Linked DNA regions of Schizosaccharomyces pombe. The gene in region 3 interacts genetically with the main gene of each other region. Each region holds a gene or a part of one and is shown on either strand. Other genes may lie near its edges.

Region 1 (8,026 bases), on a different chromosome or scaffold from region 3:
TCCTCTATCGTTTCGTATGTCATTGGAGTGAGTTTAATTATTGTATGTAAAGGAACATTAATAAATGGTAATTCCTCAAGTGAAAGATTATGATAGTATCCATAAATACAACGAAGAATAGCTTGATGACATATAATAAAAACATCTCCCTGTCGTTCTAACTCCATAATAATCGGCTCTAACCGCCTTACTACGTCCATATAAGATTCTCCGCCACGATATCTGTAATGAAATTTATCATTATTTCGCAATTCGGCTTCATGAGGAAAATTCTGTTCAATATAATCATAAGTAAAACCATCACACGTTCCTGCATCTAATTCATCCAGTGCTCTCCATTCGAGCTTTTGGCAATTAAGGTGTCGAGCAGTTTGGATAGTCCTAGCCATTGAAGATGTCCAAACCGTAAGTCCTTTTTCACCTATCGAAAACTTAGCAACATATTCAGGAAGAAGAGCAGCATATTTTAGTCCTTGAGGACTTAAGCTTGAGTCACCACCTATTTTTCCTTCAACATTAAATTGACTTTCACCATGTCGGCTTAGCCAAATACTTCGTCGACGCGTACGCAAATTAGAGAGATAATAAACAATCCTAGATTCAAGGTAATTTTCAAGTTTATGAACTATCAGTTCGGCTCCAAAGTCCACAATTCTAACGAAAGTACATTCTTCAGCCTCGGACAAAGGTGTGTAGTGTTTCTCATACTCATGAATACTATCAAGGATTTTATTCTTCGATTCTTCGAACGGAAAGCTTTTGAAATATGGTGAATGCTGACACATATCAGTAATGTTTTCATCGATAATTTTTTGATTTGTGCAGACAACCTCGACAAACATTAAGAGCATATTCCGCGCTTTTGCCAACTCCACTATACTTTTCCGAAACTTTAGTGTACATTGGTTAAAATCAAGAATCGCAACATCAGTACCCTTTTTAAAAACGCTCTCCAGATTATCGAATATGGGGCTAAGAGTTTTAGCTAAATTCTCTGAATCACTGTTAGAATTTTCGGACAACGAATTATCAATTTCTTTCGTATCATAAAGGTGAGTAGAAACGGACATCCATGTCAAATATCTGGATAATTTCATTGCAGAAGATGTCTTGCCAGATGCGGGTAACCCCACAAAGCAAACACATAGGCCCAAAAGTCCTTCAATGTCTTTCATGTTCGATCTTAATGTAAAAAAGTTAGTTCTTAATTTAAATTTTGGGTGTGGTTATGTTGCAAACAAATATTAAAGAATAAATCATAAGAATATGACCAGGTTGCTAATCCTGCCAGAATCGGGTTGAATTATTAAGTGAATATGTTAAATAATGAATATATGTTAAAGAGTCGTATTTCGCTCGAAATGTATGATTCGCCTTGAAGAGCTTGATGGACGGTTTGCAGTACTCGTACTTATGTTAAGTATCCTTAGAGTATGTAGTGAACTCGTCAATGCGTTAAAAAGCTATAATTTTTAAAAAGAAAAACGATTAAATTAATAATATTTAACAGAACGGCTTAAAATATACAAGTTCAGAACATTGCACTCCTGCTAACATAAACAAGAGGGGTATACGTGTAAGTTCAAGCTTAATATACTAAATTGCAGGTCTTCGTTACGCAGTATTATTGCGAGAGATGTTTACGCTTCCGTAAGCTACATTAAGTGATCTCAAGTCTTTGACTTGGTACTAGGAGTAGTTAAATCCACTATTAAAATAATATTCAAAATTAAGTGTGAGCATTTCCATTTCTATAAGCATAATTATGCTAAGCTGATTGTAAAAGTGTATATAATCATTTTCGTAATATTGTGGAGTTTTCATACAAAAACTGTCGGGTAAGGCATAACTTCATCATTTTTTCAGTAATGTGAATTGTGAATTAAGATTCTGGATTGGAAGTATTAGAAAACGTTGCTGAACTGTATGATCTTTTAAAAAATTCATTTTTATAACATGTTCATTGAAAATATTAAACCAGAATGCCCCTAAATTGGAAGAAGTATGTATCCTAAATATTGAACATGAACAACACTTATGAAATTGAAAGAAAGCTTGGCTTTTTCATATATTTCATTTACTGTTTAAAACCGAGTAAAACTTGAGTCAAAAGCCTCAGTGATTCAATGGTCAAAGTTGCCCAATATTTAACACTGACTTAATAAAAGTTAGAAATATTAATTTTGTCTGCTATATTTTTTTCGTGTGTTATCCATACTACAATAGTTTGTTAAGGGCTCTAACAATTATGAAAATCTTAAATTACTAATTGATATTGGTAGGAAGCTTGGAGCAATTAAAGAAAATAAAGTTACAATTACCAATCACGTAAAATGATCTGAATTAGTCACTTGATAAAGTTGGGTAGCATCGCTTTGTTCAGTAGCAAGATTGACATCTATGAAGTCTAATGAAATAAAGAGTGAACTTCGAGTGTTCAAAGAGCGTTTTCTGCTAATTAAGAGTTATAGCAATACTGTTCTTTAGTTATTGAAATGCACAGTTAGACACTTTTTTTGAAAGAGCCGGAACGCAAAAAACGAAACACTTTAAGAGTAATATTTCGGAAATGATTACGAAACGAAAACCAACCTCCCTTAGCATACGTTGGTAGTACTAGACGAGGCCAATTAACGTATTGTCTACGATGAAAATATAGGTAGATTCCAGCATTCACCATAGGGATAGAATATAACAGACGACAGAACAGACTTGGATTTCCAAATAATTCTTGTATAGTTAATATTATCGTGGTGAACAAAAAAATTCCAGGTGCCACAAATCTAGTCCAGTGAAAACGCAAAGGCAAGTCCGGAATCGAAAGTGAGTCGTAAGGACGAAATACTCCAAGACCCAAATCATAGCTATCTTGCAGCATACCGTCAAAAAAATTGTTAAGAATATATCTACGAAAGCAGTTTAATAAATCTTTGAAAGCTCCAAAAATGGTTCTCGTTCCATGGCGAGTCACATCGCCTTTTAAGGCCGGGGTACCAGTGTAGAGATCACTGATATAATCTCCAGTATTAGCCCATATTAAGCGAAAATCTTGTAAAAAACTATCATATTCTTCCAAACTCTCAGAGCTAGAAAGTACACCAATATCGTGTAATTGCATGTTTAGAATAAACTGTGCAATGCTAGTCTGAATGACGTTCGTCCGATCTAAGCAATCCATACAATTTGTCCTTACAAAGTTGGTTTGCATTGCAGTAGTTTTAGATCCATGCTCGGCATAATATTTTCCTTCTATCAAGAGACTTTGAATTTCAGCAAGAAACAAAGGGAGATTTCTACTTCCTTGCTTATGATAATCGTAGTAAACATAAGACAAAGGAGGGTTTTTATTTCGTTTACATAATTTTTCAAACCCAGACCGTAGAGGTGCTTCACGTCCTTTTTGGTCTAGAAGATTGACCACCACAAGATTGTCCCCATAATCGTTGGCAAGTTCTTGAAAATGCTTCCCAAACACAGTCTCGCTATAATCAAGAGGTTGTAAAGATAATAAAGGTCGATAATGAAGATCATTAACTTCGGCCCAGAACATGGGGATACTTCCTCGAATTTGAGTAAAAGAAAGAACCATTTGTTCTTCAAGGGTGATGGGTGATTCGATCATTATTATTTGTTCAATTTCATTAAAATTAGCAGCACTTCCTTGTGCGTTTACACCTCTGGTGAAATACCGCGTACCCGCATAGTCAGGAGAATGTCGTGTAATAACACACAGTCTAAGGTTATAAGTCTTTAAAAACGAGTTAGTAATGGCGATATTACCCTGAATCATCGGTTGAATCCATTCTTGAAAGCCTAAATCCTTATTCGTCAATTCAATTAATTCATGAAATGCATATTTATTCCAAAAAAAGCGGTAATTATATTTTGATGTCAGTTCAAAAGATTGGGTTAGTACGCGTAATCTTTGAAGGGAACAGGTTAGATCTAACGTTGGACTAAAAAGTATTTGGCCTTTTGACAAATGTTTATTGAGCAAACTGATATAATGTAGTTCTTCCTCATCTTTAATATTTAGCAGACCCGTGGAGAATGGAAGAGTCCTTGTAATTGGGAAGATAGCAAATTTCCTTGCCCGATAAATATTGTTTCCGAGAATTGCTGCATGCAAATCACAACTTGTAACAAGAACTACATATTTGTATATTTTCAATCGAATAAATCCATATAACTGAACGTTATTATAGTCAGGTGTCTTGCTGAGATCAAGAGAATTGCTCAAACTAAGGCATCCGTCGACTCTATCTATTCGAAGAGAAGCTTTTTTTTTGGAACATGATAGATAAATGCTGTCTGGAAATACTCTAACGTCCTGATTCATTATTTTGTTGTATTTGAGAAGCGTAGATGCTTTTCTGCTATAATGAACCCCGGACTAATGTATTTTCCAAATTAGGTCTCAAAAGTAAAAAATGAGAATGCTATATTTACAAAAATTCAAATCAAACTCTTTAATGTCCATGAAACGATTTTTGAAGGCTTGATTTCCAACGCAGCGCCTGAGTAACGAGTTCATTGTTACCTGAAGGTTTATGCAGCACGTTTTACAAAACGAACTTTCAGTGACAGTGTAATGTATGATATTATTAACAATTCTCATTGCACTATGTAATGATACGTAAAGTATCGCTATTCATTGTACCTTTGCTTTACAAGATAGGTCGTCTGGTGATGCTGATACTCCCCAATTACCTATATTAAGGCTGAACTACAAACTATAATTCGAAGAATAGGCAAACGAAAATCATAATACTGTATGATATTATTGATTTTGAGAGTAGCAAAAATAATTAATAATTCATCGTAGCGTTTTTCAGATATCACAGAAAACATACCATACTCTATCGCATAATCAAAATAGTTTACGAGCCTTCTTTGACTGCAAGTAACATATAGGCAATGTCGCTTTATATTTTGATACATAATTTCTATAAAAGTTAGGTGTTATATGATAACCAACTCTTCGAAAGGAAGCATATGTTTTGCTTTAATTAAGCTTTATTGATATTTTTACCGTTGTTAAATAATATATACTAAAGATCTGACCCAGTTGAATTTGCTATCTATGTTGTATTGCTTTTTACTAATACAACCGAACTGCCAATTTTTACATAAATATTTTATTAAATCGGATTGAGAAGTAAAAATTATAAAATCATACATTTAATAAAATCCTTTTTCAACACAAATAATCTCCATTGTTAATTAATTGCTTTAACCAACAACCTTGTTAAGCCTAATTTTGACCGCAGGAATTAAAAAAAAACACTAAATAAAAACAAGATAATTAAGAAACCAACATCTGCGAAACATAAAACTCGGTGGAAAATAAATATGGTTAAACGACATAGACACAAAAACAATGGTAATGAGAGTAACGTGAGTATTAGTTCGATAAGCATGCATATGTAGCAATAGCAAGTGCTTAACACGTGCTAGCAAATTATGTGAATTGACATGACAAAAAATTCACGTCAATTGATGAATGCGTAAGGATCACCAGAAATCGCGTGAATACACACCAAGACTTGCTTAAGCAGCAATAGGTTGTGCACTAGTGCTAGGCATAGACGTTTCAGCAACGCCTTGAGATCCTACTTCTTCATCATCCTCCTCGCCAATTTCAAAGTTATCAACAACTTGGGTGCTTTGAAGAATGTTTGGTTGAAAACTAGGTTGATAATCTTCTGTACCCATTTGAGAATATCTTTTACTACCTGTAGAGGTGTAAGAGTGTGTAGTGCCGGAAGTAGTTACACCATTCGCATGAGAGTAACGGCGTGGAGGTTCATTGATTACATCTGTGCGAGGAACGACACTAGCTTGAAATTGTGTTTGATAATGACTTTGAGAAGGCAAACCATCAATGTCGGTAAGGGGTTCAGGAGTTTGGAAAGGATTTTGCCAATTAGCCAACTCACGTTCAGCCTCAACAATATAGTCACGGGTTATGTTGTAACCATCGTAAATAGGGCGAGGCTCACCGGGAACAATGGGAGTATCGTCCAGGAGATCGAGGATCTTCTTGGCATACCCGCAAAGAATAGCAACCTTTTCAGAATGCTCAAGTAATGTACCAATATGAAGAGTAAAAGCACGTTTAAAGTTTTCGCGGGTAATGTTAGTTAACTGCGCTTCTGCAACCAAACACGCAGCTTCCTCACGAACTAGTTCCTGTTCCATAGTAATAAGCTTTGGGGACTCAGGATCACGGCTTCTAACATCATAAATGGAGTTAAGTAGCTTTTCTTTCTTAACACGGGTGGGTTGAACGCTAGCCTCAATATCACGGATGGTCTTCAGACTAACACGATATTGATCGTATCTGTCTACCATATGCTCCTCAAGTTCGCCAATTTCATATAAAAGTACACCAAGCTTATCACTGATATCGCTAATATCATCATCGCAATCTTCACCCCAATACGAAAGTTGATTGGCACATTCTTTGCGCTCCATGGCAACGTTTTCATAAGATCGAAGTAAATCCTTTTCCATCTTAACGAGAGCTGCAAGGCGTTTAGCCATTTCGGGAGTAAACATACCCACAGATGGATAACGGAATTGTCTGCCGAGTTTATTAACATTTACTGCACGACGGGTAGTAGAGGGAGGAATTTGATTCTGTTTCGCTTTAGGAGGCGCGCGAAGCGTATGAATAGAGTAAGATGGTTGAGTGCCCATCATCTTGCTAATTACTTGATAAACGATTTAAGACTTTGAAAATATGTATATATAAAAAGAGAAAGGAAATACTAATAAAAAGGTTAGTATGTTAATTAGAGGTAGGTTGAAACAATGTTCATTAAAACATACTTAATCCGCCAACTCACACTAGACAAAGCGAAGTATAAATAAGGTCAGGCTCAAAATGGACTTATTAGACTACACTTTCGAAAGTAACAAAAGAGCTGTAAAGTTCAGGTAGATTTTTAGCGACTTGAACCCATGTTTTAAAGATTTGAGCTAGGCTTGAGACGTCACTATGTCAACATGGAATTTATATGTCGAAAGCATAATGTCATTATTGTCCGTACACTGAATGCGACACCTAAACAATTGAAAATTAATAAGGACTTGTCAATCAGCAAACATATAGATATCTTAATCATTTCCCTCCTCTATGACAATTAGCAATTTCATAAAAATGAACGAACAAAATAGCTTATGATACATTATGAAAAGATATGAGATCACAAATAAATCATTGAGAAACTTTTGACCAACACTCGACAAGTATTCATAGTTGTTTATGCAACGTAATGAATAGGTATAATAAATTAATAGATATGGGCAAAACAACCATCACTATGCTAAAAAATTCGTAACTGAAGCCACCATTTTTACCTAGGACTCACATTCCAAAATGGATCTCTTACGTCGTTGTGAGCTATTGGTAGGAATACTTTGATAATCCTGAATACCAGTAGATGTTAACTGAAAAGCCAACTCTGATTCTGCAGAATGAGCTGGTGGCTGCTTTGCCATGAATGCATAGCGCAGAAGCTGATGAGAGGGACGACTCTGTCCATCTTTTGATTCTTCAGTTGAATGCCTACTGTAAAGAATGAGCCGATAAGATAGATTATCTAACCAATTAGTGCTGAGAAGCGGTATCAACTTAGCACCTATCCCACTAACAACTTTTGAAGTCATCTGGGTGGTAACAAAGATAGCCACATAACAAGAGGATGTAATTTTGCTTAACAAAGAACTGATTGTACCGATTGCCTTTTTTCTGCGGTTTATTGTTGTTTTGGTAGAGGAGTTATGAAATGCAAAATTCGAGTCGTCTTTACTCGAGAACTCATTTTCTTTGTTTAACGTCAAAGTGTTTTCTTTTTGAGATGAATCTGAAAGGGAGCTTTTTTTGCTGGTATTACGACGAAGACGTAGATAAGCATAATCTTCTGGACTGGTTGGATATGCAAGTTGAATAGGCATTGATAGGTTGTCAATAATTAATAATCCAATTTCTTTAAGATGTTTTTCTTGATCGAAATTTCGT
Region 2 (7,696 bases), on a different chromosome or scaffold from region 3:
GGGAATTGCATTGGCATATGAAATTACCAATAGTAGATTTGAGATCAACTCGGGATATACAGTTAAAGTGAAGTGTTTAAAGAGATTTCAAGGTGAGGCGAGAGGCTAGAATGCTCATGCAGAGCATGCACCCACGATCGTACCATAGAAGGGTGACAGATGGAGGATAAACCAAGGAAAAAAAAAGTTTAATAGAAGAAACAACGTTTAATGTTTTTAAATTGCATGAGACAAAGCAATGTTCTCAAATCAACAAGGCATCTTCTAAGCCAGGCTGCAAATGTGTAATGGACCAATGGAAAAATTCTTACTCACATGAGTAAACGTATAAAACTAACCCTCCGTGTGAATGGTAAACCATGTTACACAGATAAAGCAGCCAAGATAACAGAGAAGGAATTGTACTGTGTGTGTGAGAAAATATTCACATGATAGGTGGTGCTTAGGAACCAAGCAACTGGCGGATGCACAGAAGAAAATGGTAGAGAAAAATGTCAGAAAAACAAAGACAAATGAAAAAAAGAAAATAATAATAAACACTTGAATGAATTTACGGATGTACGTTCCAGTGAATGAATGAGTTTACGGAAAAGAATTGGGTTGGTTTCGCCTCCCTTTTCCCTCCCTCTTTTTCTCCACAGTGAAAAGATAAGATTTTAAAAAAATTTAACATTCAGTTTAAGGAAGCAAACACTTTTGATAGATGGTTTGAAGGCCGCACATAGTTTGAAGACAAAGAGACGAAGTTCAGTTGAGTTTGAGATTTCATAAAATGGATTGTTTCAAAAAATAAAAACAAATTTTTTTTTCTGTTCTGTGTCCTAATAGACATTAGCAATACTATAAACAAAGCCACCACATATTATAACATGGATGAAGAATTCACAAATCAGCATGGAAAAAAATTCACGGATCAGTTGCATAAATAAAGCTTGCATAACTCATCGACAAAACATTGGATAAATAGACTAAGATAGATACACAAGATAATAATACATAAATAAATTACAGTGAACCAAATTTTAGAGAGGGGGTAAAACGTCAAAAGGTTTTGTTACACCAATTGACAAATGAAAATGAAACGAGATCCATGGATCACTAATAGAGGAACATTTTGTTTCTCCATTAATCCTCCTTTAATGATGCATCGTCATCCACAATATCCCAATGACTACCATCTAATCGAGGAAAAAAGCGGCCGACTTTATCTTGATACACTCGATATAACGGATATTTTTCACAGGACATCTTTTCGGTAAGTCTGGTCGAGCCTTGAAAAACGCCCACTAGTCCAAGCCATGCAAAAATCGTCCAATTCAATAGTGATTCTGAAGCGATCGCTCCAAATAGATAAAATGAAAGCCAAATAAGTTGTTCTGCTAAAAAGTTGGGATGGCGACTCCATCGGAAGAGCCCTGTAGCATTGAAACCACGTCCAAGCGACAACAAGTCATACTTAAACCGAGGTGGCACGGTTTTGTCGACATTGTAATGATTTCGCGCTTCATAGTAATCCCATTGCTGTTGGTCGGCTAGCATTTCTAGCACAAACATAAACATGAAAAGCTCGAGTGCTATCCAATCCCATGCTCCAAATGCTCGTTCGTTTCCAGCCAACATGGCAATATACGTGGGAGATGCAAGCAAATATAGGTGGAGCACTTGAAAGATATGAATGTAAAAATAGTGGAATAATGGATATATCCATTTAGGCATGATTTGGCGAACTCTCACCCAACGATAGTCCTCTGCTCCTCGATTATAACCTCCTTTACGGTAATAATTGTAAGTAAGACGCGCGGACCATAGAGTCTGCAAAAATGCCATAATCATTAATCTTCGCGAAGCAATGTTGTATCCCAAACCATAAAACAGAAAATGCAAGGAAAAAGCCGTTGGCAGAATTGGCCATAGCCGATCCACTTGCGATGTATTTTTCGTCCAAACAGACACTCCCCAAAGCACATTTCCCAAAATAAATGAGAGAAGTAGTCCTACAACAAATGGATTCGTATTATAATAAAAATCTGCAAAATTCAACTTTCCAGTAAACAGTAACTTCAAATTGCTCAGTTGATACAGGTAAGGAGATACTGCAACTTTCCATTTTGCGGCATCAGATGCCGAATAAATAATTGGCATGGTGGATGCCAAAGTCATAGTGCTCGTTTGAAAAAGAACAATGGGAATGTCAGAAAGTTGGCTTTCTATAGCTCCACGAAATCCTCTGTCTCATTGTGACGTTAGCTTCTGGAATAAGAAGGATTAGTGAAATCCAAGGAGCCTGCGTTTTCCAAAAAATAAAATAAAATAAATTTCAAAACAAAAGAGAGAGAAAACCTCAAGGCCATTAAGACATGAGTTGATAAAAAGAGAGGGTGTAGAATGTATGTCCTTATGTTAAAAAGTGACTTTTTAGAAGGAAAAACCAAATTACCATCTGTCAACATTATTTTGCGAAACAGGGAGTCAATAAATTTAAAGCCAAAATTAAGAGACAAATGCCAAGCAATATAAACTTTTCTTTCATTAACATTTGCGAATCAATGCCTCGTGATTTACATGAAATGATCTAGAAATTAAAGCAAACTTCAAAATTGTAAATTAAACCAAAAGATGCATCCTTCTGTTTATTTTAATAAATTAGCCATTTTTTCGGGAGATAACTGTTCATGACAAAATCGAGCATAACCGTCGTATTGTATCCCGGGTAGGCACCTCTGTTTTTGATGCTCCAACATTACATCTTTGGCAGTTTGCTTCATGTTTAGTTTTTGTAAAATATTACTTTCTTGCAACTCAAAATCTTCGGTAAAAATTACCTGCCAGCTTGTGTGCTTTGCACATCTTCGCTTCTCTGTAAAGCAGGTGGACTCAGGAGAAGGATCTATACTCATGTCAAGAGATAGCGGTGCTCCATTTGAAACTTTTTCCCACAATTCATTCATTTGTTGTTGATTGAATAAAAGTCGAGAATCGAATCCACACAGATCTTTCTTAATACCTTCTCTTTCTTTGTAAGCAAGAACCGCTCTCCGCGAAGAATCTTTGATCAACTGAAGAAATATTTTTTTGTTAGATGCTACTTCTTTCTCTTTATTTAATTGCACAATTTCTGCGTTCAGCCTATTGGCCTCCTCAATTTCAAAATTGTACACAACTTCAGGAGGAACTTGGCTTGGCAATGTCGGTCCCACCGTACCCAAATTTTGAAATTCTTCCCTTTTTTTTGCAAACAATACAAGATTTTTTATAGCAGAAGGTTCAACCGTACTCAGCTTTACTTTTTCTCGAAAAAAATCGACTCCATGTTTATCACTACAATAGTTGGAATTAGGTCTTGTGGGATTCGAGCATTCTCGTAACCGGCATTTTCTTTTCCAAGTAGTTATACCCTTTCCTTCTTCTGTGCATTTAGGACAAAAGTACTGTACAGTTAAATCATTATAAGATTCAGGTATATTAACGCAAGTGCCATGAAACCAATCTTCGCAACCATCACATCCTAACATCCATGATCCATCATCAGGCTTTTGGCATATACAATACAATGGTCTTTGATGATCGGCTGTAGACAGATTGAGTTGGCTATTCGCATTTCCTCGGTGTTTTCGTGGACCCCTTCTATGAGCTGATACGGGTGGTTTTTTGGGTATTGTAGGCTGTTGAATGACTTGCATTTCTATGTCTGTTTCCGTTGAGGAAGAATCAACGTGACCGTTGACTTCTTCAACCTCCATTTTAACAGATTTATTGAGAATTACGTTGGCGTCTTTCTCTTCCTCATTGTTAGCTGTCTCGATATGAAAATCAGTAATGGTGCCTCTATTCGAATCCTCAAATTTTACAATTGATTCTACATGAGTTTTTTCATTTTCCTCAGTATTCTCTTGCGTTAATTCCATTATTGGAATTTCAGTTGTCTAAGTCTGTCAATAAGTAAAATCTAAAGAAAGCGAGCTTAAGCACAGTACACTAAATGCATTAAAAGGAACTACAAGCCAAACCAAAATACAAAAGAAATGGGGTCTGTCAAAACAAGTTGAAATTTAAACAAGTCGTATATTAATATCAAGCTTAATTAAAGGAGACAATTATTTCAACCTTGACGGACGAACTAACCATGCCTATATAACTCACAGAGGTTACTGCGGTATCTTCAAGAAGATTAAACAAAAAAAAAAAAAAAGGAAAGAACGCAAATACACCAAATAATAAATATTTTTAGCCCAGATAATCTCATCCAAGACAATCACTAATGTAGCAGAATTGGATAGAAAACAAGACAAAACTGCAAAAGAAGATTCCATTAAATTTCGTGAAATTAAATCAAATACTCATAAACACCCAAATATTAACCCAATTTGCGAAGGCCAGCTCGTGTTCTGTGTAGCTTTTTTTGGTTTGCATATGCTTCATTAGAAAGCTCGTCTAACATGGAGTTTTGCTCGACAACTTCTTGATTAATCATTTTCGAAAGCTCCTTCTGCCTTTGAATAATAGGCAATAACGATTCTGCTTGCATATCTTGATCTTCCATAGTTTGATTCTGCATGTTGTACAGTCCTACATTATCAAGCTTTTTTGTTGTCTGTGTCTCTGGCATTCTGTTTTTTCCAAGGACTCTGTTCAAAGAGGTATTAGATTGTTTGTCAGTAGATGCAGATAATGGGCGAAAGGGAGAACTAGGATTAGAAGAGTTTAATTGAGATGAGGCAGAAGGAGGAGCGACTGGGCTGTTTGCATTTTTAACTAACCGTTTAAATGACAAGAATTCAGAACCAAGCTGTTCTAACATATCTTTTCGTCGAAGGATTTCTCCTGGACCAAGAGCATTTGCTAATTCTAATTTGTCTAACGATTCTGAAAGGTTATCCATTAGCGACTTTATTGCATAGACATTCTTTGTTTGAACTCCTATCGTAATGCTTTTTCCACTCATTAAGTCAACTCGGTACATATGTAAATTACGTTTACAATCTTGAAATACTTGAATCCAATCTGTCGGACCCAAAAACTGACCCTGTGTTTCATCTTCCGATTCATCTTTAATATTTAGAAATTTTTTAACCACAGGCATTTTTATCCATGGCGTTTCTGAAAGGCATTGAACGTAAGCTTGTAAAGCAAGTCGTCGAGATTCACGTAACTTTTCATTTGTCACAGTTGAAGAAACCCAAGATTTAGAGGGGAGTTTGCAAAGTCTACTGTTGTAGTCATTTGGCCGAATTTGAGCATCCAAAGCAACGAATTCATTGAACCGACGAAATACAACATGTTTCCCACCATTCGGAAATGCTACTTCAATATGGTAAACCGTCCATCGTGAATATTCATCAGAAGACTAGTTGTAAGTAAAAATTAAAGGAATAAAGCTTACTTGAGACGTTTCTGGTATTTTAATTTTTAGCGCCATACTTGCTATGAACAGGTTGATCAACAATGAGTTCATGAACAACAGACTACTGTATCGGATTTACTGCACTATCGTTATAAAACTGTATAATGTAGAATTTGAGCTTTCAAATAGTATAGGTTCTATTAGTTGAATAAAGATAAATTTCAGTTTCATGATGCTTTAGATCCTTTAAACCTCATGTTTTCCTTGATGCGCGAGATGCCTTTACGATTATCGAATTGGCAGGTATTGAAAGAAAGTTTACCAGTTTGCAATAGATTTAGAAATTAAAATAATGAATTAGGTTAGTATATTATCTTATACCTTTAAACACTTTATAGTCAGATTATTGAGTATTTTTTTTGGCACTCGTGAACGGTGCAACTTACAAGTAATTACAATACCTAAACAGAAGAACGGCAAAATCTTAACGAAGCTTAGTAATAAACAGAAATTGTTTATTTTCTATATTTTCCTACATGGATTGGTTGCAAGCGCGACTTGCCTAAAGTATTAAAAGCACAGAATAAACGCCAGATCGTAACATTATGCAAAAGTGTAAGTATAGGTAGATTCCAAATAACAACAGTACTCTGATATGCATAAAGATTTTTCACTTAAAATACATGTCATGTAAATATAAAGGCCCCACAGATGATATATAATAGTACTAGTGGAACTTAACAACTGTTTTTTCATATCACGAGAGGGAAAAATATACAGCGAAAAGACTTCTCACATTTGCTTAAAGTATAACCATATACTGCTTTTGAACGATCATCCAATTCAAACTATGCGACCCTAATAGATGAGAATAAAGGACGAAACATCCCACAATGGATATCTTTTAAAAGAGTTCGGAATCAATTTGAAACCACAGTCATTAAATTACATATATTCATAGTCAGTTCCACACATGATGTTCAACTCAGAAAGAAGAAATCTGCCTCCTTCATCAGAAATAAATTCCACCGTGAAAACGAAAAATGAAAAAGAGAAGAAAAAGGGCATTAACCTGATGAAAAAAGTTTGACGTTACCTCACTGAAATTATTGAACACGAGTAAAGACATATAGACAAATTTGGAAAATCCCATAACAGATACAATGAATTAAGATAAGCCCATGAGAACTTCCACCAGGAAGTAAACAACCAACTAACTACATTACAAGAAAAAAAATGATGTAAAAGAAACAGAACTCGAACTTTACAGAGACAATGCCCAGCAGATAAAAGTGATAATCCAAATTTGTGACAAGTAAGCACCCACCACTTGGAACATGGCGGACCAATTCATTGAAAACAAAATTGAATAAGGAATAAAGCAATTCCACAGAGTAAGGAAAATCATCAAAAATAATGATTGGGGAATAGGCCTTTCACTAAACACGACTCTTTGAATAACGTAACCAATTGGTACATGGGCAAGATATTGTAACGGGAGCGGAGGGGCAACGAGACTAGTAACAACGTTATGGGAGTTTCCAAGAATAAGACCGTTTAAGAATATCTTTTGTGATATATAATTAAGCACGCTGATCAATACACTCGCCATAATTGTGAATAGGAAAGAGACACTATACTGTGTGTTGACTTGGTTTGAACATTTGATGGGGTTAGCTCTAGAGAAACAGCGCGCCACTAGCAAAGAAATGGCGTCAATTATGAATGCCCAAGCAATTTGACTCAAAGGAGTAAGGTAGTAGGTCGAGAGAAGCACGTATACTGGATATTTCGTAAGTAAAAGCCATCCATAACCTAGGTTGAATTTCTGCAACAGAAGAGATTGACCAACGTGCATAATAATTGATAAATAACTCTTTCAATCCATTGTTAGTAAATCTAAACTTATATAATGATCTGCATACCATCCAGTAAGGAATATCACTTTCCACCACCCCCGTGGAAGCTAATAATCGTGGATTGAGGTGATAATTTAGCAAGCCATAAGTTAACGTGTGTAAAAATAGGTAAATGGACACCTTTATGGTGTTTGAAGACGAACAGCACTTCGATCCTGACATTTTGCGAATATTGGTAGTTTTCATATAGTTTGTCATCGATGAACACACAAGTAACGATTGATCAGGTAACAGTATCTTCAAACAATGGAGTCTGTGAAATGGTAAATAATGAATCAGCAGGAAACCAGGATCCTTTGAATTTAGGTAGTAAGTCTATGGAAAACCAAAATTATATTTTTCTTGAAATTCCGTGTTATTAAATCTCTAGGATTAGTTTGCAAGAAAGTGTTCTCCGTGCAAACATTAGAACCGTGGGATTTTAAGCATAAAATGG
Region 3 (9,742 bases):
AGCTTATTGTTTGTGAGTGTTTTAAATTTCAACTTGGTTATTTAATTAATGAATTTGATCTATTAAAACTTACATCTTTTCTAAGAAGAAAAGGCTAATAACTGCTATTCTAGCATAAAGTAATTAATTATTTTTACTATATAGTTTTCTGCGAATCAATCTTGTCAAAAATCACTTTATTATTTCTAAACAAAGTCGATATGAAAGAAAGTAAAGTAAGCACCCTTTTGTCAATGACAACCGAATTCGAAAAAGATATCTTAAAAGAGTCATATCAGTTATTTTGGCTTCGCAGTTATTGAGGTAAATGAGTGCGTCAGATAAATTTCATGAAAACTTCATCATTCATGAGGTAAACTTTTGCATTAACATCAGTAAAAAGGTGAAAAGATGGTATAAAAATCAGTTCTAAAACAGCATTGAAAACAGTGCAAAAAATATTCATCATTAACCATGGGTAGTAGGTTCAGCGCTTTGTTTATTGACACTTCCACCGCTTTGTAATGGACGAGGATGCTGCATTCTGTTCATTCGGCCGCCTCGTCCACGTCCACGATTGGTACGCATTCCAGTTCCATGTCCCTCCATCCGGTTATTTCGATACCATCCTCTATTTTGACGATAGTACGAATCATCACGCATGATATTCACCCGCACACCTTCTGGAACTTTGATGCTTCCAAGGGCCTTTGAAACAGCATTCTGGTTTTCAACAAATACATATGCATAGTTAGTGGGGTTTACGTTTTGAGGAGCTTGGGGACTTTTGTAACGATTGAGTGAAGTACGAATTTGAATATTCGTAATCAGGCTGTCTGTCCCGTCCTTAAAGTAAGAACGGGCTTCCTCTTCAGAATTGCAAGGGGTAATATGAAATCCACAACGTTCATAACGCTGCTCACCACTATATTGACGGAATTCACGATCGTTGCCCTTCTGCATATCAGTTCTTCTACCTTCTTGTGCTTGAGATCTTGTAACATTTGCAGCATTCTCTTGTTCAAGTATGGTAACCTCTGTAGTCGTCTCACCTAGCTCGAGATTTCCAGTACCCTTAGTCACCTCTTCAACGTCAACTTCCTCTTTCCCTCCAATTGCTGGTTGTTCTTCTTCATTAGGACTAGGCTTCTCTGCTACGCCAGAAATGGGTTCTTCCTCGGCAGCAGGTGGTCCCGACTTCTCTTCGATTACTTCATGAGTCTCAGCCGACTCTTCTGTAGTATTCGCTCTTGACATTCCTAGCTCATCAGTATGTTCCTGATCGTACCCTTCAATCTGTTCTTCTTCGGTTGGTGTAGCCGTAGCTTCTCTGTTCTTGGTAAACTGTGCTTGAGATTCCACCAACCTATTGTTAGCGTAATAATAGGTACCGGTATTTTCCGAAGTTGAGCGTGGAATGTGAGATGCATAATTTTCGTTACGACGTGAAGCCATGCGACGATAGCCTAAATTAAAGCCATGAGATTTGCTTTCCACTTGAACATGCCCATTTTCGACGACAAAAACAGTCCATCCAAAGGAAGCATCTAATAAATTGAAGTTCCATAGGTTTTTAAAAGCAGTGCCGGGAAGCATGTTATTCATAGCATATGAGTTAGTTGCATCGGGCATGCGAGAGACTAGGCGAACAACATTGTTTATTAGATGATGTTGTTCAGGGGTAACCATCTTCTCAACCTCAGCCTTAACAGTGTCATACACTTCCATAAACTGTGCACGGGCAGCCGAAAGTTTTTGAAGATAATGTTCAGGACTATGATTTACGCAAAACTCATTGTAGCTAGCTCCATAACGAAAATGAAGACCGGCGGATAAAGTCAGGTCAGCCTGGCAAGCAGTAGCTAATTGAGAAAGAACACCTTCTCTTCCAATGGGATGATGCGTAATAAAAATACGTGCCTCCTCTCTGTCAAGCAGGCTCTTAGCGGTTTCTATTAGTTCACCCATTTGAAGGATTGTAGTCCACATAGTACCCTGGCCACCAGCAATAGTTCCTTTACCGTCTCCATTGTCAAAAAGCTTAAAAGGGACATAAGGACCTCCAAGACCAAGTAAACGGATTTTCATATCTCCAATTTGCAATAGGTAGGAATGAAGTTCGTCCACTATGTTAAGGTTTGGAATAGAATATTCTCCAGAACGAAATTTTTCCAAAACGTGCACATCTTCGCAAGCTCCCCATACTACATATACAGGGACTGAGAATTTCTTCTCTTGTGACAAAAATTGAGGTAATTCTGAAAGCAGGCAATCGGGGTGAGAAGCAATACTATTCTTCAAATCCCCAATTGGATTCGAGGGATAATAATCAAAGTTTTTGGACCTAGGAAGCTTTTTTATGAGAGGCGAGAATTGGACAATGTGACGAAGAGTACTGAAAAAAGGTTAGAACAAAGAAAAATGAAACATAAAAATTTTTGACACAAAACATACCGTTCAGATATGCTAGGAAGTGAGGATCGCTCAAAAAATCCAAAGTCACCAGTGTGGATGACACAGGAGGCATTGGTTTCCTCAACCAGGCTATTTATTAAACTCAGTTCACCTGAAGGGATAGTTATTAGTAAAAACGCGTATTAAAGAGTAGTAATTTTAAGGATAGGAATAGCTAAGGAGAATAAAGTGTATGGACAAAATTCTTTTACGAACCAACGAGGATCTTTAATGACAAAATGAGTAAATTGAGCAATTGCGCTTCAACTCCTGCTAAGCCATTATGGATAAGTTCATGCAAAAGCATACAAATTCGCATCTTCTTATCTTAAAAAGTAAAACGATCGTCGATAATTCCCCCGATGGGGTGCTTTTGAATTCTCGCTGGCAGCTCTAAATCCATAAACAACGCATACTTACCTCGAACATCGGCAATACATAAGATCCTGGATTTATTATCCAATGTGAGTACTTGAGCTGAAACATCCAACGTGGAATTATTCTCGGAATCTGAGTACGTTTTAGAGGATTTATTTTCCAGCGTCCCAGTTGAAGGTTCCGCTTGAATATCACTTTTAGCCGTCTTTTATGTAATTAGTTTAAAATTTTTGCAAAGATTCATTAGATCTATACTTACATCCACGCTCATTATATCGTAAAAATCTAATGAAACGGATAAAACAGTAAATGGTGTTGAGTAAGGGTTTTGTGATGATGCCTCAGTTTCGGCACTGTACTACTTCCTACTACAATAAGAGAATGTTGCTTCGTAATGTTATAACTTAGATCCACCACAAACGAAGTAAAGTAAATTAAATATATAAATACACAAAAAGCAGCAGTTAATAGATAGTTTTTGAAATTTTTAACGTGACAATTGTATTTCTGTAGTATAAAACTCCACAAAAAATAAAAATAAAAATAAAATTTAGTATATATTAATATATATATTTATATATAAATATGAAAAAAAAAGGTGCTTCAATGAAGGATTACAAAATTCTTGAGAAAGCTCGGTAATCGGGACGGCAGAGTTTATTAGGGTATATGTTAAATGTTGCAGCTTTGGAATGGAATTGTTAACTTATTTTACACATACTATGACTTAAGTTTGCCTCGTGTACAGTAGATGATGCTACAGTCTGAAGTATATTTCAATTTCGTTATATCGTTTTTCCAGGTTGAGATTTGAATACTAGTTGCAGTGCGAAATTTACAACATTTGAAGTATGTAAATGTTCTGTTTATTTGGCAAATTGAATAAAATAAGACTGTTAGCAATTTTTTCGGTTTTTTTCTATGTACAACAATACTCTTTTGTGTTATTAAATAATGCTCGTTTACTATAACTTAAACTCGTTTGTACGCTGTATTCTTACTACTAAGTATTGTCAAGATTTGGAAGCAAGGGCATCGCCCCATCAACTAGGTCATATAGTATTCGCGTGCTTCAAGTAGCACAGCAGCACATTCCCACCACCGAGTGGAATTCGAAGTTGTGTGCAGTGGTATAAATTTTGGAGAAGTGTAAGTTGTATATAATTCAAGAATGAAGAGATTTATGTAATGATTGATACAATCGGAGCTGTCGATGCATACATTCTATTAAATGACGGATGGACGAATTGTTTACATGGCTATTTGTTAGACATTCTTGTCTATGGCTGTTGCAAGTTCTTCATTTTTCTTAGATTCTCTTCCTCAAATACTTGTTGCATCTTGTTTATTCGTTTGCGTTCCGAATTTGCTAATTTTACATTCAAGAATATCGCGGCAACTGTTAGTCTGCCTAAATATTGTTTTAATTTCATTTTCTGCGTTTTCAATTACTTTTATATTTAAAAAGGTTTAACAATTACTGAATTGAGTGGTTATTTGGGAAGCCGTGTTCGAACAGCGTTCAAAATTGATGTCAGCCTTAGACCGTTGTTGATTGCGAATCAAAATGGATTGGGTTGCATTGTCGAAAAGCTGTAAAACTCATTTGTTAGATGAAGGCCTTGACGTGTCTTCAATACATTGTTTTGATCAGTATTTGATAGTAGGCCAATGTTCCGGCCAAGTCATGGTATTTGACGTTTCTACAGACAATCATTTCACTTTGATCCAAACATTTATAGCACACAAACATTCCGTTTCTTCTATAGTTTGCCTTCCATTTGAAGCTGATGGAATTGTAGACCTATCAATCATTACACTCGACGAATCTGGGTATGTTGAGCAACTCTCATTAGCCGAGCAGCAATTATCAAATTCATTATTTAACTTATTTCTTGCTAACATTTTCTCAGATTACTTTGTCAATGGCTACTGAAAACATGTGACCGACGAGCTACTTTGCAATTGTGTGACGGGCTATGTTTAAAGCTATTTAGATTAAATAACAACTTTCTTGCTGTTACCGGAACCTTTTTGAAAATATATCTCATTAGAATCTCCAACTTTCAGATAGTTGCGACTTGGACTGGTCATGAGGACTGGCCTATTTTGTTTCCGTTCAAAGACGAAGCTTTATTAATCCCTGTCGCCTATTCAGATGGATCTGTATCTCTTTGGTCAGTTGATTGGTCAGCTCTTACTTTTAAAAGAAATTCAGTTACAAAAGCAGATGTTAAACCAACTTTTGGTAAGGTTATTGATGTTGTACCAGCAGATTGCATTTCTTCCAATTATGCGCTATATGTATACTCGGATGCGGTAGTACTATTGGAATCGCATGAGAAATTTATAGCTTCATATTCACTTGCAGAGATAACATCTGTATTTGTTTTGGCTGATGGCACGGCTTGTATTTTTACTCTTTCGTCTTCAACTTTACTCAAACTTCATCAATCTCCTGAACCTCATTTCGAATTAATTTCTAAGTATTCTGGAGATTTTCCATGGAAATCGTGCACCATTTTAAAAAGTAAACCCGTTAGTTTGTGTGTTTATCCCGAAAAAATAACTTTCAATTGGTTAACAGAAGGAACCGTAGACTCATGCAATCTTTGTAAGTTGAGCAATACAGCTGCTGTTTCCTACGCTTATACGGACTCTCTTAATTTATTCCTTGGAACAACCTCTGGTTTAGTGATGTTTTCTTTGTTTGACTGGTACCTTCACAATGATCCAGCTCCTCTTTACTCTTTTACAAGGGTTTCTGGAATTGTAACATATATGAAAATATTTGAAACTGAACATTCACGCTCAATTTTAGTTGTTGCTACCAAAACTGGAAAGGCTTACTTTTATCAACAACTTCAGGGTGAAAGATGGAGATTTCTCTGCGAGCGTGCTTTGCAATCTTCTTCAATTACTAAAATTATTCATGCAAAGAAATCATTATCTTCTGGTTCATCAGGCTTATTTATTTTTATGAGTTTAGATGGCTCATTGTGTGCCTTGGATGAATCTTATAATCTGTAAGTTATCAGTGTGTTATCAGTTATTAATCGACTTTTATAGTCTAAGCTACTTGCCATCTGATGGTGCTCAAGTTGAAACTTTGTACTCATTTCCCGATTTAGATCAAATCTATGTTGCTTATGACAATTTTCAACTATTAAATTGGGACGTTGTGGATCAAAAATGTTCTGAAGGAAATTATTCAGATATTATTGACTCTTCGTTCATATCTATTGGTACTTTTGATAAATCTAACCTCCCTACTTTGTATCATGGTTCTTGTGCTTTACTCACCGATAATTTGGTTACTGTTTTTTTAGACGCTCATGATTTAGTACTGAACCTCAATTTTTCTAATGAAAATTACATAGAAAAAACGTATATTGACGAGTTCCTTGACTTTATCCAACCTCCTTTCCTAAACTCTGATATAGAGATGGAGCATCAGTTGTTAGGTACTGTTTTTGATCAATCCAGTTTGCATCTTGGTGTGGGTAAGCCAGATGGAAATGCCATACTTCGATTTGACACCGAAATGAAGTCAATAATAAATACTGCACCAAATTGTTCCGCTTTGCTGTTATATCTATATTTTTCTCTAATGGTTCCTTTATGTAAATATGATGGGCTGAGCGATACCAAATTGACTGAAGGAATATTATTAAAGTTAAAAGACCTGAAAACGGTTGATTACAGTATTTCCGTTCTTTCATACGTCTGGAATAATTCAGGCAAGGTTATGCAGGGTATAATTAAATCAATGTTGTCGAGAACATTGGAACTTATATCTCCAGAGGAACTTCAGAGGCTTATATATTATTATTTTGAGTTTTTTACGACTACAGGTGGAGAGTACTATCTGAAAAAGGAGGTGCAACATTCACTGTACATCTTGTCATTAATTGTCAGTTTACGGCCTTCAGCATTTGATGTTTCACAATTGAAATTTTTGTCTTCCTATTTATTACAAAAATCCGAAAGTATGGACTATGACTTAACAGCAATTCGCCTGTTGAGTAATGGTTTTTCCGTGTTTTCAAAACATATTGATCCTGCAAAGTTTATATACAACCTGGTTTTGTCATCCTTAGAGAATACTAAGGATTTGGATGATAAAAATAGCATTCTCTATAGATCAATAGTGGATGTCTCAGTTTCGAATGCTGTTTTACTGCTTACATGTTTATGCGATGAAGTTTATGAGCAAATGAAATCAAATTTACGTTCCGTTATACTAAAAGTTGTGTCTTTGGCAATTGAAAACACACAATCCGAATTTTCTTTATTTAATCAATTGATCACGGAAAAATTACTTCCAATCCTTTACTCTAGCCGCTCGGTTGAAGAAGTTCACGACGTTACTAACGCAATTGCAACCCAATTTCCATTTGCATGTTTTGATAGTAAGGTGGAAAAATATTCCTACATTGACGATGGTGATCTTGTGGTTTATGAAATAGCTAAAAGAAGGAAAGTCGTCAGCAAGGAAAACGCCGAATGTGATATTCAGGTATTGTCCGCCAGTCCTTCTGGTGACTATTTTGTTGGAGTCAGTGCTACGCAAAAGGAATGCATTATTTGGAAATACAGCCAAGATTTCGTAAAATTCTTGAACTTATCAACACCTTCATTAACGATCCGAAAACGTATATTATTACAAACTAACAAAACGAATGAGGTTGAAATTCCTGAAGTCCTATGGATTAGCCAGTCATCAGCAGAAGTCCATATTGGGAGCACCTTTGCTATCATTGACTTGTAGGTGGATTATGAATAAATTTTATCCATGCCACTAAATAGACGAGCCAATTTTTGTATTGGAAGTGGGAAAAACCTCAGTAGAGGCATAAAACGTGCGTAAAATGGATAGTAAAAACGACCCGATTTGTTTGTATATAAGTTTTGAATAATAATTTTTGCTAAGTTTTGAGGTTCTAGTAGAGGGGCTAATACTCTGTTTGGGGTATCTTTTTCGAACATTGTAGATTTAATTTGCCCTAAAACATAAAGAGAAAACTTGAAGTTGGGATGCTGTGATAAAACCTCTTCCTCTAATGTTTCATGTAGCGAAACTAGTGCCGCTTTTGAAGATGAATAGGCACCTGTTAATCACGTTAGAAAGGAAAAGCAAATTTTATAAAATCAACCCCACTTACCGACTCCCATCGCACTAAAATAAGCCAAGGAGGATGCTATGTTGACCACATGAGGATTTGGATCTTGTAAAAGGAGAGGAAATAATGCAGATGTAATTGCCAGCTGTCCGATCACATTTGTTTCAAAGCATCTAAATTAAGCAGTTAGAAAATAAGGCTTACTACGCTTAACCTGTACTTACTTTTGTAATTCTTGTCTTGATATAGACAGCAAATGATTTTTTGGAGCAATAGCTGCAGCATTGATCAGAGCAAAAGGGGTCCTGTTCATCTTTTTCAAAGAATGGACACATCCTTCTACGTCCTTATCTTTGGTAATATTACATTTCAAAGCACTAAATTTAGAATTGTACTGTAGAAAAGATGCAGGCTCAGTACTGTCCAAAGAGGCGACGCTGAAGCCTCTATCCAACGCCTCTTGAATAATAGCATGACCAAGAATCCCACTTCCTCCTGTTATCACAATCAGTCCTTTAGCACATGAATAGGATTGTTTCCTGAAAAGTAGAGGAAACCAAGAAAGGGTTAAGGCAGCACAAACAAGCGAAATCACCAATAATAATATATGATTCAACATCAGGGAATGACTTCTGTGAAAAATATGATAAGTTGCTGAATGGAAACTTGGCAGAAAGTCGTTAACATTAGCAGCGAACTCTTTTGTGTTTCGAATAAGTTAACGTCCAAGTTCTGATCGTCTAAAGACCCTAATATCGTATTTGACGAAGTCAAGGAGAGAACCTTAGTAGATGCTGCCAAACAAAAGCTATTTCCTAGTGTAAGCAAAAATCACGCGTAGTAGAATAATTCATTAAATCGTTGAACACTGCTTTTATAAACTTATATAATAAAGTTTTGATCAGTATCGCCAATGTTGTATTGAACTTGTTAACTAAATTATTCAATCCGTACTACGAAAAATGGAATGCCCATCCTGATCTTAACTTGATTAGTCTTATAGAGTCAAAGATAAGTGATGGTTTTTTTTTTAAAATATTACGCCTATCATAAAAAGAAGCATTAAAAAATGCGATTAAGAATTGCGTCTTCAATTTCCTTATATATTGAAACATAGTACACACTATACCTTCCCTTCATCTTCGACTAGTTGTTTTTAAAATATTTGAAAGTTTGAGCGTGCTCAGTTTTCTATGTTGCATATAGATCAAAGGAACATATGTATGTTAGTAAATATCATTGCATTCAACTATGCTATTAATTAATGTTTATTAAATGATCCCAACGCATGTTGATGTTGTATTTTGCATTTGGTAACCCGCAGTTGGAATTTTCAGGCATCTACGTACAAAGTAAATAAAGTGCAAAAGGGTCAGCTCATTAGTTTTACGGGTCCTCAATTCGATGTTGCAGATTTTACAAGTTTTTAAAATGTATTTCATTATTACTTTTTATATGCCTAATAAAAAAGCCATAGTTTAATCTATAGATAACTTTTTTTCCAGTGCACTAACGGACGTTACATTCCCATACAAAACTGCGTAGTTAAAGCTAAGGAAAAGTTAATATCATGTTAATTAAATACGCTATTTACAATAAGACATTGAACTCATTTATATCGTTGAATATGAATAACCAATTTCAGCGAATTTTTAACAAACATCGTTCACCTCGTTTAAGGATATCTTGTGTATGGGGTGTTGACTTGCTTTATCGAATAATTACCGTACCTGTAATTGGCTTGCTGGATATAGCGGTAGTCTAATATCTAGCAAAAATCTTTTGGGTGAAAAGGCTTGCAATTTCAC
Region 4 (7,109 bases), 1.2 Mb from region 3:
CCCGTTGGCTCGTATGGGTGTTCCCATGCCTGAAGAGATGGGATCCGTCGATGTTGTTGAGACGATTGAGATTGGTGGTGATCGTGTCACTGTATTCCGTCAAGTTGAGGATATTACACGTACTGCAACAATCGTGCTTCGAGGGGCTACTAAGACATACTTGGATGATTTGGAAAGAGCGATTGATGATGGTGTAAATATCGTAAAAGCTTTGGTCAAAGATAACCGTTTAATCTTTGGTGCTGGAGCTAGTGATATGCAACTCTGTATTCGTCTAATTTCAGTTGGTGAAAAAACTCCTGGTATATATCAACATGCAATCAAACAGTATGGAGAAGCATTTGAGGTTGTTCCTAGGACTATTTCAGAAAACGCTGGATTAGATCCTACTGATGTTATTAGCAAACTTTATGCTGCCCATCATAAGGAAAACGGTGAATCAATTGGAGTTGATGTTGAATGTGAAAATGATGGAACATTAGATGCGAAAGAAGCTGGTATATTTGATGTTTTATTAGCAAAAAAATCAGCAATTAGATTAGCAACTGAAACTGTACTCACTGTTTTAAACGTTGATCAAGTTGTTATGTCTAAACCAGCTGGAGGTCCAAAACCACCTGGCCCCAACCCTCATTGGGATGATGATTAAAATTTAAGTGAGTTTCATTTTTCTACTAGGATTGGATTAAAACGATGAATAGTTTTTGTAAAAATCTGCTACTAATTTTCTATTGAAATTAAAAGCGCGTTATCAAAATAATTAGGTACAGACATAATCCATTGAAGTAAGACATTTATCATTAAAGGTCTCTAAATCGTAACGTTCTCTAATAACGGTAAAGTAAAGTTGCCATGTTTATTAAAATCTTTTAACAATTCAGTCGGTGTGCTGCGCTGGTCTCTATTTTTGAGAAGTTTTTTCACAAATAAGCGGAACCGCCATGAAGGATCGTCGTTATCATTAGTATTTCCAGTAGATCTTTTGAATGGCGATTTGCATAAGTGCCATGTATAATCACATCTTACAAGCCTTTGAACATAACGTTTGATCCTTACATTCTCAGGATCCAAAGTTGGGTAGGAGTCAAAGGGAAGACGACCCTCTAATAGTGCAAATAAAACTATTCCGAGAGACCAAGCGTCCGCGCGAAATCCATCATGTGCAATACCCATATAAACTTCCGGTGGTGCATATTCTTGGCTGCCGCAGCTGGATTGCACTAAATGATTTTTACTGTCAACAAAAATAGAAAGCTCAAAGTCAGAAATCTGAATTAAAGCATTTGGGTAGTTCTTCCAATTATCAATCGTCTTTATAACATTATAAGGTTGGGTAAGCAATATATCTAAAGACAAAGTGTTAGTTTAAAATCATAACTGTAAAAGTTGAAAATCCTTATTCATCGAGCTTACTTTCAAGTTTTAAATCTCTATGAATCAAACATTTGGAATGAAGGTAAGCAACTGTATGTACTAACTCAGAAAAAATTCGCCCAACAAATTCAAGGCTGAAATCCGAATGATGTTTTTTAGTGTAATGATAGAGATCTCCTCCCATACAATAATTCTCTACGAGTATTAATTCGGCGGAGGAAACGTAGTAATTTAATAGCTGCACAACACATGGATGCGACAAAGTTTTGAGGGCCCAAATTTCTTGCCGAAATACTTTTACTCTAGCTTTTTTTTCGTTTTGAGACTTGGATGATAAGTGAGTATGTTTTAGGACGATGGAAGTATCAAACTTCTTATTATTAGATTTGACAAGCAGTACTTCCCTTTGTTCCGTAGAGGTGATTTTAGTATTTATAGACCACAAATATTTCTCATTCTCGTCTGAATATAAAGCATATCCTCTACTTCTGCCTAATTGAAGAGAATACAATGATTTTTTTTGTATATTAGTTAAGCCAAAAATTAAATCGGAAAAAGTCTCTAAATCTCTATTAAATGGAGCATAGTTAGAAATTTCTAGTTTAGTTAAATCGTTCGTCAATGATTCAGATATATCAGTCTCAGACGGAAGAGCTGAAATATTCGGATTTACATGACGAATTTTATTTGAAAGAGGATATAGTTGCAGCGATTTTTCTTCGCAAGAATGTTTTTTTTCAGACATTAAAAGCCCATTCTTCCTAGATAGGGCTCAACTTTCTTCGAAATATACAAAATTCCAAAAACGGCTTCGATAGGATGAAGTCAGGTACTGACGCATATAAAAGGTTAGGATAGGTATTCTAAAAATGCTTATTGACTAAGACTGCCACATTGATTGACAGTTTAAAAAAAAAAAGAAAAATAATGAAAACTAAGCATTACATTTCATGGATTTCAGCTATCACCATATAGACCAGCTGCACTAGAGTCGTCCGAAGAGGGAGAACTATCTTTTCCATAGATATCTGAGTCTTCTGGTAATTCTTTAGATTCCTCTTCATTTTCTTCTTTTCTCTGGCTTTTAAATAATGATGTTTCTTCTTCTTCTTGGGAATAGGGTCCACTGGCAGGAGGAGGAAGAGGAGAGAGATTGTCTTCAGATGGATTTTCGACAATATTGGAAGTATATGGTACGCTGTTAATGCTTGGAGAGTAAGAATCTACTTGAGGAGAATAAGCATCATCACTGTTTGGAGAACTAGACGGAGGTGATGTTGTTTCTACATTATGTTTGCCAGCAGTAGAACTTTTATCTCCAAAACCTGCATCGGTCAAGGTAGAGGTAGCTGTTGTACTTTCCTTATTCTCTAAATTAGAAATTATGGATTCAACAGATTTTAGGCTCTCTTCTTCCTCTGAAAGTAGCTTTTTTTGTTCTTCTATAAGCGATTCCAAGGAAGTAATGAGTGTGGATCGGGATTCGATGCAAGCCTGATAATTACCTTTACATGATTCAGAGGCTTTATTTAGTTGCTTTTTATAATTATCGAGTAGTTCAGAATAATCTGATTGTTTCTCCAAGTATGATTTATACAATGCATCTACCACAGTTTTGGTAGAGTGAGCAGATTTTGCGTATAAACTAGTTTGTGTCATTAAACGAGTGTAAGGTGCCTATGCAATTAGTAAAGTTCTGATATTTTATTTGAATTGCGGCATACCCATTCCGGAGGGCCAACGGGGTAATAGTTAGAATGGCCACTGTTCTCGGCATTATTAAACCTTTCCTGCAAGGATAAAAGTATCTCCTTAGAAAATATGCCGCGTTGACACCAAACGTCAAAAACGTATTTGATTTTTGTTTTAATGGAAGCAGGAACTGACGCGTACGCGTCAGCTACAGAGTTTACGACATACTATGCAAATATTATTAGAATCTAAACCATATAGGAGATGTTCCAAGCTCATAATGATAGTAACTTACTGGAGAAACGGCATCAATATATTCAGATATTTTTTTGACCCGGGATTGTTGAACGACTTCGTTGAGCAGGTAAAGCAATAAAAGCTTTTTGTTGGAAGAAGCTGGTTAAATTAGTTAGACAATCGAACAAATTCCTAAAGGAGTCATACATTCATACAAAGCTTCCAGCCATATTTGGACAATTTCATCAGCATAACGCTTGTGAAACATAACCCAATGCGCTATTCCCGTTATACTTTCTTGTGTTTCATTTAGAGTAGCCAACTTTGAAGAAACAGTGTCTGGAGTCAAAGCCATCTTGTTTTATGCTGATGGTGAGTTTCTTACGACACACTGCTGTTAGCATCGCAAACGAAATCATAAGCATAAGTAATAAATACTTCTTGTATAATATCAATGTTTTACATTATAGCCTATACTTAAAATGATTTTGAAACAACAGATTAATTAGTTTGGGTAGAGCAAAAATCTTCGTCTCATTTGTAAAGATGGAAAAGAACATTTATTATTCTCAAACTACCCAGTTTTCTCCAAGATTCCCTCTTAAATATTAGGTATATAAAATACATTATTCGTTTTCTCATGATTTTGTTTAGTCTCAGCAGGTCATCTTAGCTAACGGCTATCACTCACTGTAACATTTACAGTACGAGTTTTGGTAAGAATGCTAGACGAAATCTTGTGATGTTATATGTTGGGGATTATGAAAAGAAACTATTCGGCGTGTTGAGAAATGTGTACGGAGTGCAAATGTGTGTTTTAATGACTTGTCTGAAGCAGGAATTACTATATACTACTCACCGCATTGAGACTTTGTTTTTGCTTCCCTTGTATTACTATAAACTATGGCATATACTTACGTAAAAAATTATATAATAAACTAATTGTTCGTTTGAAATCGTATTTATTTGTCAACCGGGCAGGCAAAGCAGTAAAGATGTTCTGAAATTGAACGATAATACGAGTTTCAAAAAAAATAAAAAAATAAATGAATAAAGTAAAATAAATTAACTCCTAAGAACAAAGTTAAAACGGGATGACTAGTAGTAAGCAAAATTGTAAATAAAAAGTGCCGTAAGAATGTCAACGTATAAAACTAATGTTCATTTTCTGCCAATGATAGTCATTTCACCTTTCATAGTAGTTATTTCAACTTAATGGATGCAATCTCATTCTGCGTAGCGTCAAACTCAGAATTCATGTCGTTTCGCCAACACTCTATACCAGAAATATATCATTGAAGGACTTTTCAAGTCTTGTATTTGCTCATTCATCTATTCAACAATATAACCCATATATTAGAATACCAATCTCAATTGCTACTTATATATTACTTGCGAATTACAATATAATAGATCACTAGGAAAACACCGTAGTTCTACGTATCGTTAAATTAAATACTTGCGTAGCTAACATTATATCCTCTTAACGCATTTGTTGTAGCTATGGGTTATATTATTTACAATTAATAGCTTGAATGAGTAATATACCTTTTCTTTAAATATTTCGTGATTATTTAGAGCTGTTGAGAATCCCTTAAGAGGAATACAATAAAGCAGGATAAAGAAATGTTTTTCTATTAACTTTGTTATGCATGTTTGCAATCGAAGTTTGTTTTTAAACAAATACTCCTCTATTCAATAAATCTAACTTTGTAATAAGTTACCTGCAAATAAGCCATTTTTCTTTTATTTTACAGATAAAGCCCATTTTCATTATCTGTATCACGTACTCCCAGTGTGAAGTTACTTAGGTTACCTTGTTTCTTAATCCATCAAAAACTCTTTTCTTTGTCCTTAGCATTCTTTGTTTAAAGTTGTATATAAGGGGAACTTGAGAGATTTGAATTTACTTACAACACATATATTAAATATTGCTTTCAACACACGTTTGTACTTTTATTTTCCAAGATTTCCCTTTCTGAGAAATATTTGTCAATTAGTAAACATATAAGGCAGGCTACAAAAGATATCATTTGTATAGTTATAGTGAATTGAAATTTTATCGTTAAAAAGAATACTGCGGTTTATTGCAACTGGTTTTGTATAAATAATAAGGATGATGTCGAACGAGAATTTTGATAATGACTACAATCTGCCACCACCAAATGATTCTGCGGAAGATTTAAAAATTTTCATTGAAAGATACGAGAGATCTGTAGATTCTACATTGTTAGAAATTGACGAAAACAAAAGAGAAGCACTTGAAAAAAATATATTGAGGAATGAGATCGTAAAATGAAATATGAAATTGAATGCAATGAAAGGCTACAAGGATGGAAAAAGTTAGCGATTGAAAGGGAAATTTCTGAAGAACAATCGGGAGAAGTACAATTTCCACGCTGGATAGATGAATGGGCAAACACTAAACTAGGTGGAATTTTCGAACGAATATTTTCTAAAATGGACTCAATGCAAAATGACATGAATTCTCGGTTTGACGCTATGCAGAATGAGATGACATCTATGAAAGGCGAAATGGCCGAAATGAAAGTTGAAATGGTTGAAATGAAAAGGGAAACGATCCGTTTGAACACTAGAATTGATTTACTCGAACAAAAAACTGAAGCAAGGTTTCAGTCAATAGAGCAGCGATTTAATTCTATTGACCAACGATTTGACTCTATGGAGCAGCGACTTGACTCAATGGATCAGAAAATGGAAACAATTGATGCTCGCTCATGTAGGTCGATCATGTTGACAAGAAAGCTTGAAAATGCAACTCGTTCAGACCAAGGTTATTTGGCGTCACCAGTACCATTTCTGAATGGTAATGAGCCGGTTAGTAGTGGATTACCGCCGATAGAAAGAGTCGAAGACATTGACGAATTGTCAAAGGAACAGTGTGTCCAATATCTTAAGGGATACGGTATAACGTTTAGTCCTGCTGAGACTATTAAGTTGAAAAAGCGACTTCGTGATACAGTAGGCTTATGGTCAAAAGCGAGTACTGAATATGAATTTCATCAGTTCCATTGAATTTATGTTTTTATTCAAATATCTTGCTTTCTTATTCGCTTTTTATTGATACTTTGATATTTTATTGTATGTTTTCTCTTTGATGTTTTATGATTCGGTGTTAAACGTTTTTTAATGAAATTGATGCTTTATATAATTAGATGTCAATTGATACCTTCTATCCTAAAGCTTCTAAAGTGAAAGACGTATATTTGCAATATCTAGAAGGGTAGTTCACTTCACCAGTGAAAACTTCAACTGCCATATAAAATTGACCCTATAACAAATTAATCACCTTCTTTTATTGTAAAGCGCCATACGCTAGTATGAGTTGCAACTGATGATAAACTTTAAGTCACTAGTAAAAATACACGATTCCTATAAAAGATACACATCAAGTATACTTAAAGTACTTTTTTTAAGATTTTGCGGACGCAAAAATATAGATCGAATCAAATGTCTGTTCACTTATATATTTCTTGGGCGTCTTCATATTAATGTGCCCTAATATGCTGTATAAATTTTCTCCCTCATTTGGTCCTTTTAATTTAATAGAAACTGTTTTATCCTTACAAATATTATAGTAAGTGCTTGTCTGTTTCCTCTGGTTTTGCAATCATTTCTGCAACTAACAGTGCTTTTTAATGCAGTACACTAAAAGTACAGCGATGTGTTAATAGAAGTATCTGTGCAAGTTGAAACATACAGTATACAAATTATTGTATGTGTAGGCACTGAGATATATGATTTTCGATTTCATTCAAAATAAGAATTTGAAAGAATAAATTAGT

Evidence for each region.
Region 1: mutations in wdr7 (region 3) and sac12 together harm fitness more than expected from each alone (negative genetic interaction), as found in Schizosaccharomyces pombe (2 studies listed by BioGRID).
Region 2: mutations in wdr7 (region 3) and spf1 together harm fitness more than expected from each alone (negative genetic interaction), as found in Schizosaccharomyces pombe (2 studies listed by BioGRID).
Region 4: mutations in wdr7 (region 3) and rhn1 together harm fitness more than expected from each alone (negative genetic interaction), as found in Schizosaccharomyces pombe (2 studies listed by BioGRID).

What each region holds. Positions count from the first base shown.
Region 1 is NC_003424.3:2,059,303-2,067,328, forward strand, and holds sac12 (inositol polyphosphate phosphatase), read right to left. Parts: upstream 4,481-8,026; 5' UTR 4,340-4,480; coding exon 2,504-4,339; 3' UTR 2,271-2,503; downstream 1-2,270. Other genes in the region: fpb26 (fructose-2,6-bisphosphate 2-phosphatase), read right to left, coding at 1-1,175; eisosome BAR domain-containing protein Pil2, read right to left, coding at 5,551-6,702; rad55 (DNA recombination mediator, RecA family ATPase Rad55/Rhp55), read right to left, coding at 7,366-8,026.
Region 2 is NC_003421.2:361,574-369,269, forward strand, and holds spf1 (Set1C PHD finger subunit Spf1), read right to left. Parts: upstream 3,910-7,696; 5' UTR 3,906-3,909; coding exon 2,631-3,905; 3' UTR 2,187-2,630; downstream 1-2,186. Other genes in the region: SPOM_SPCC594.03 (uncharacterized protein), read left to right, coding at 1-109; SPOM_SPCC594.04C (steroid oxidoreductase superfamily protein), read right to left, coding at 1,126-2,160; vsl1 (SNARE protein Vam7), read right to left, coding at 4,355-5,344, 5,381-5,416; bouquet formation protein Bqt3, read right to left, coding at 6,606-7,217, 7,267-7,422. UniProt on the Schizosaccharomyces pombe protein: The Set1 complex specifically methylates 'Lys-4' of histone H3.
Region 3 is NC_003423.3:2,267,413-2,277,154, reverse strand, and holds wdr7 (WDR7-like protein), read left to right. Parts: upstream 1-3,902; 5' UTR 3,903-3,960; intron 3,961-4,197; 5' UTR 4,198-4,378; coding exon 4,379-4,644; intron 4,645-4,724; coding exon 4,725-5,837; exon of another isoform or gene 5,838-5,880; coding exon 5,881-7,582; 3' UTR 7,583-7,587; downstream 7,588-9,742. Other genes in the region: SPOM_SPBC16H5.12C (uncharacterized protein), read right to left, coding at 448-2,374, 2,434-2,545, 2,854-3,016, 3,071-3,082; SPOM_SPBC16H5.14C (DHRS family dehydrogenase), read right to left, coding at 7,588-7,922, 7,977-8,107, 8,159-8,553.
Region 4 is NC_003423.3:1,032,087-1,039,195, reverse strand, and holds rhn1 (RNA polymerase II transcription termination factor), read right to left. Parts: upstream 3,675-7,109; 5' UTR 3,659-3,674; coding exon 3,511-3,658; exon of another isoform or gene 3,463-3,510; coding exon 3,362-3,462; exon of another isoform or gene 3,294-3,361; coding exon 3,099-3,293; intron 3,052-3,098; coding exon 2,332-3,051; downstream 1-2,331. Other genes in the region: chaperonin-containing T-complex theta subunit Cct8, read left to right, coding at 1-649; serine/threonine protein kinase Ppk27, read right to left, coding at 811-1,346, 1,414-2,119.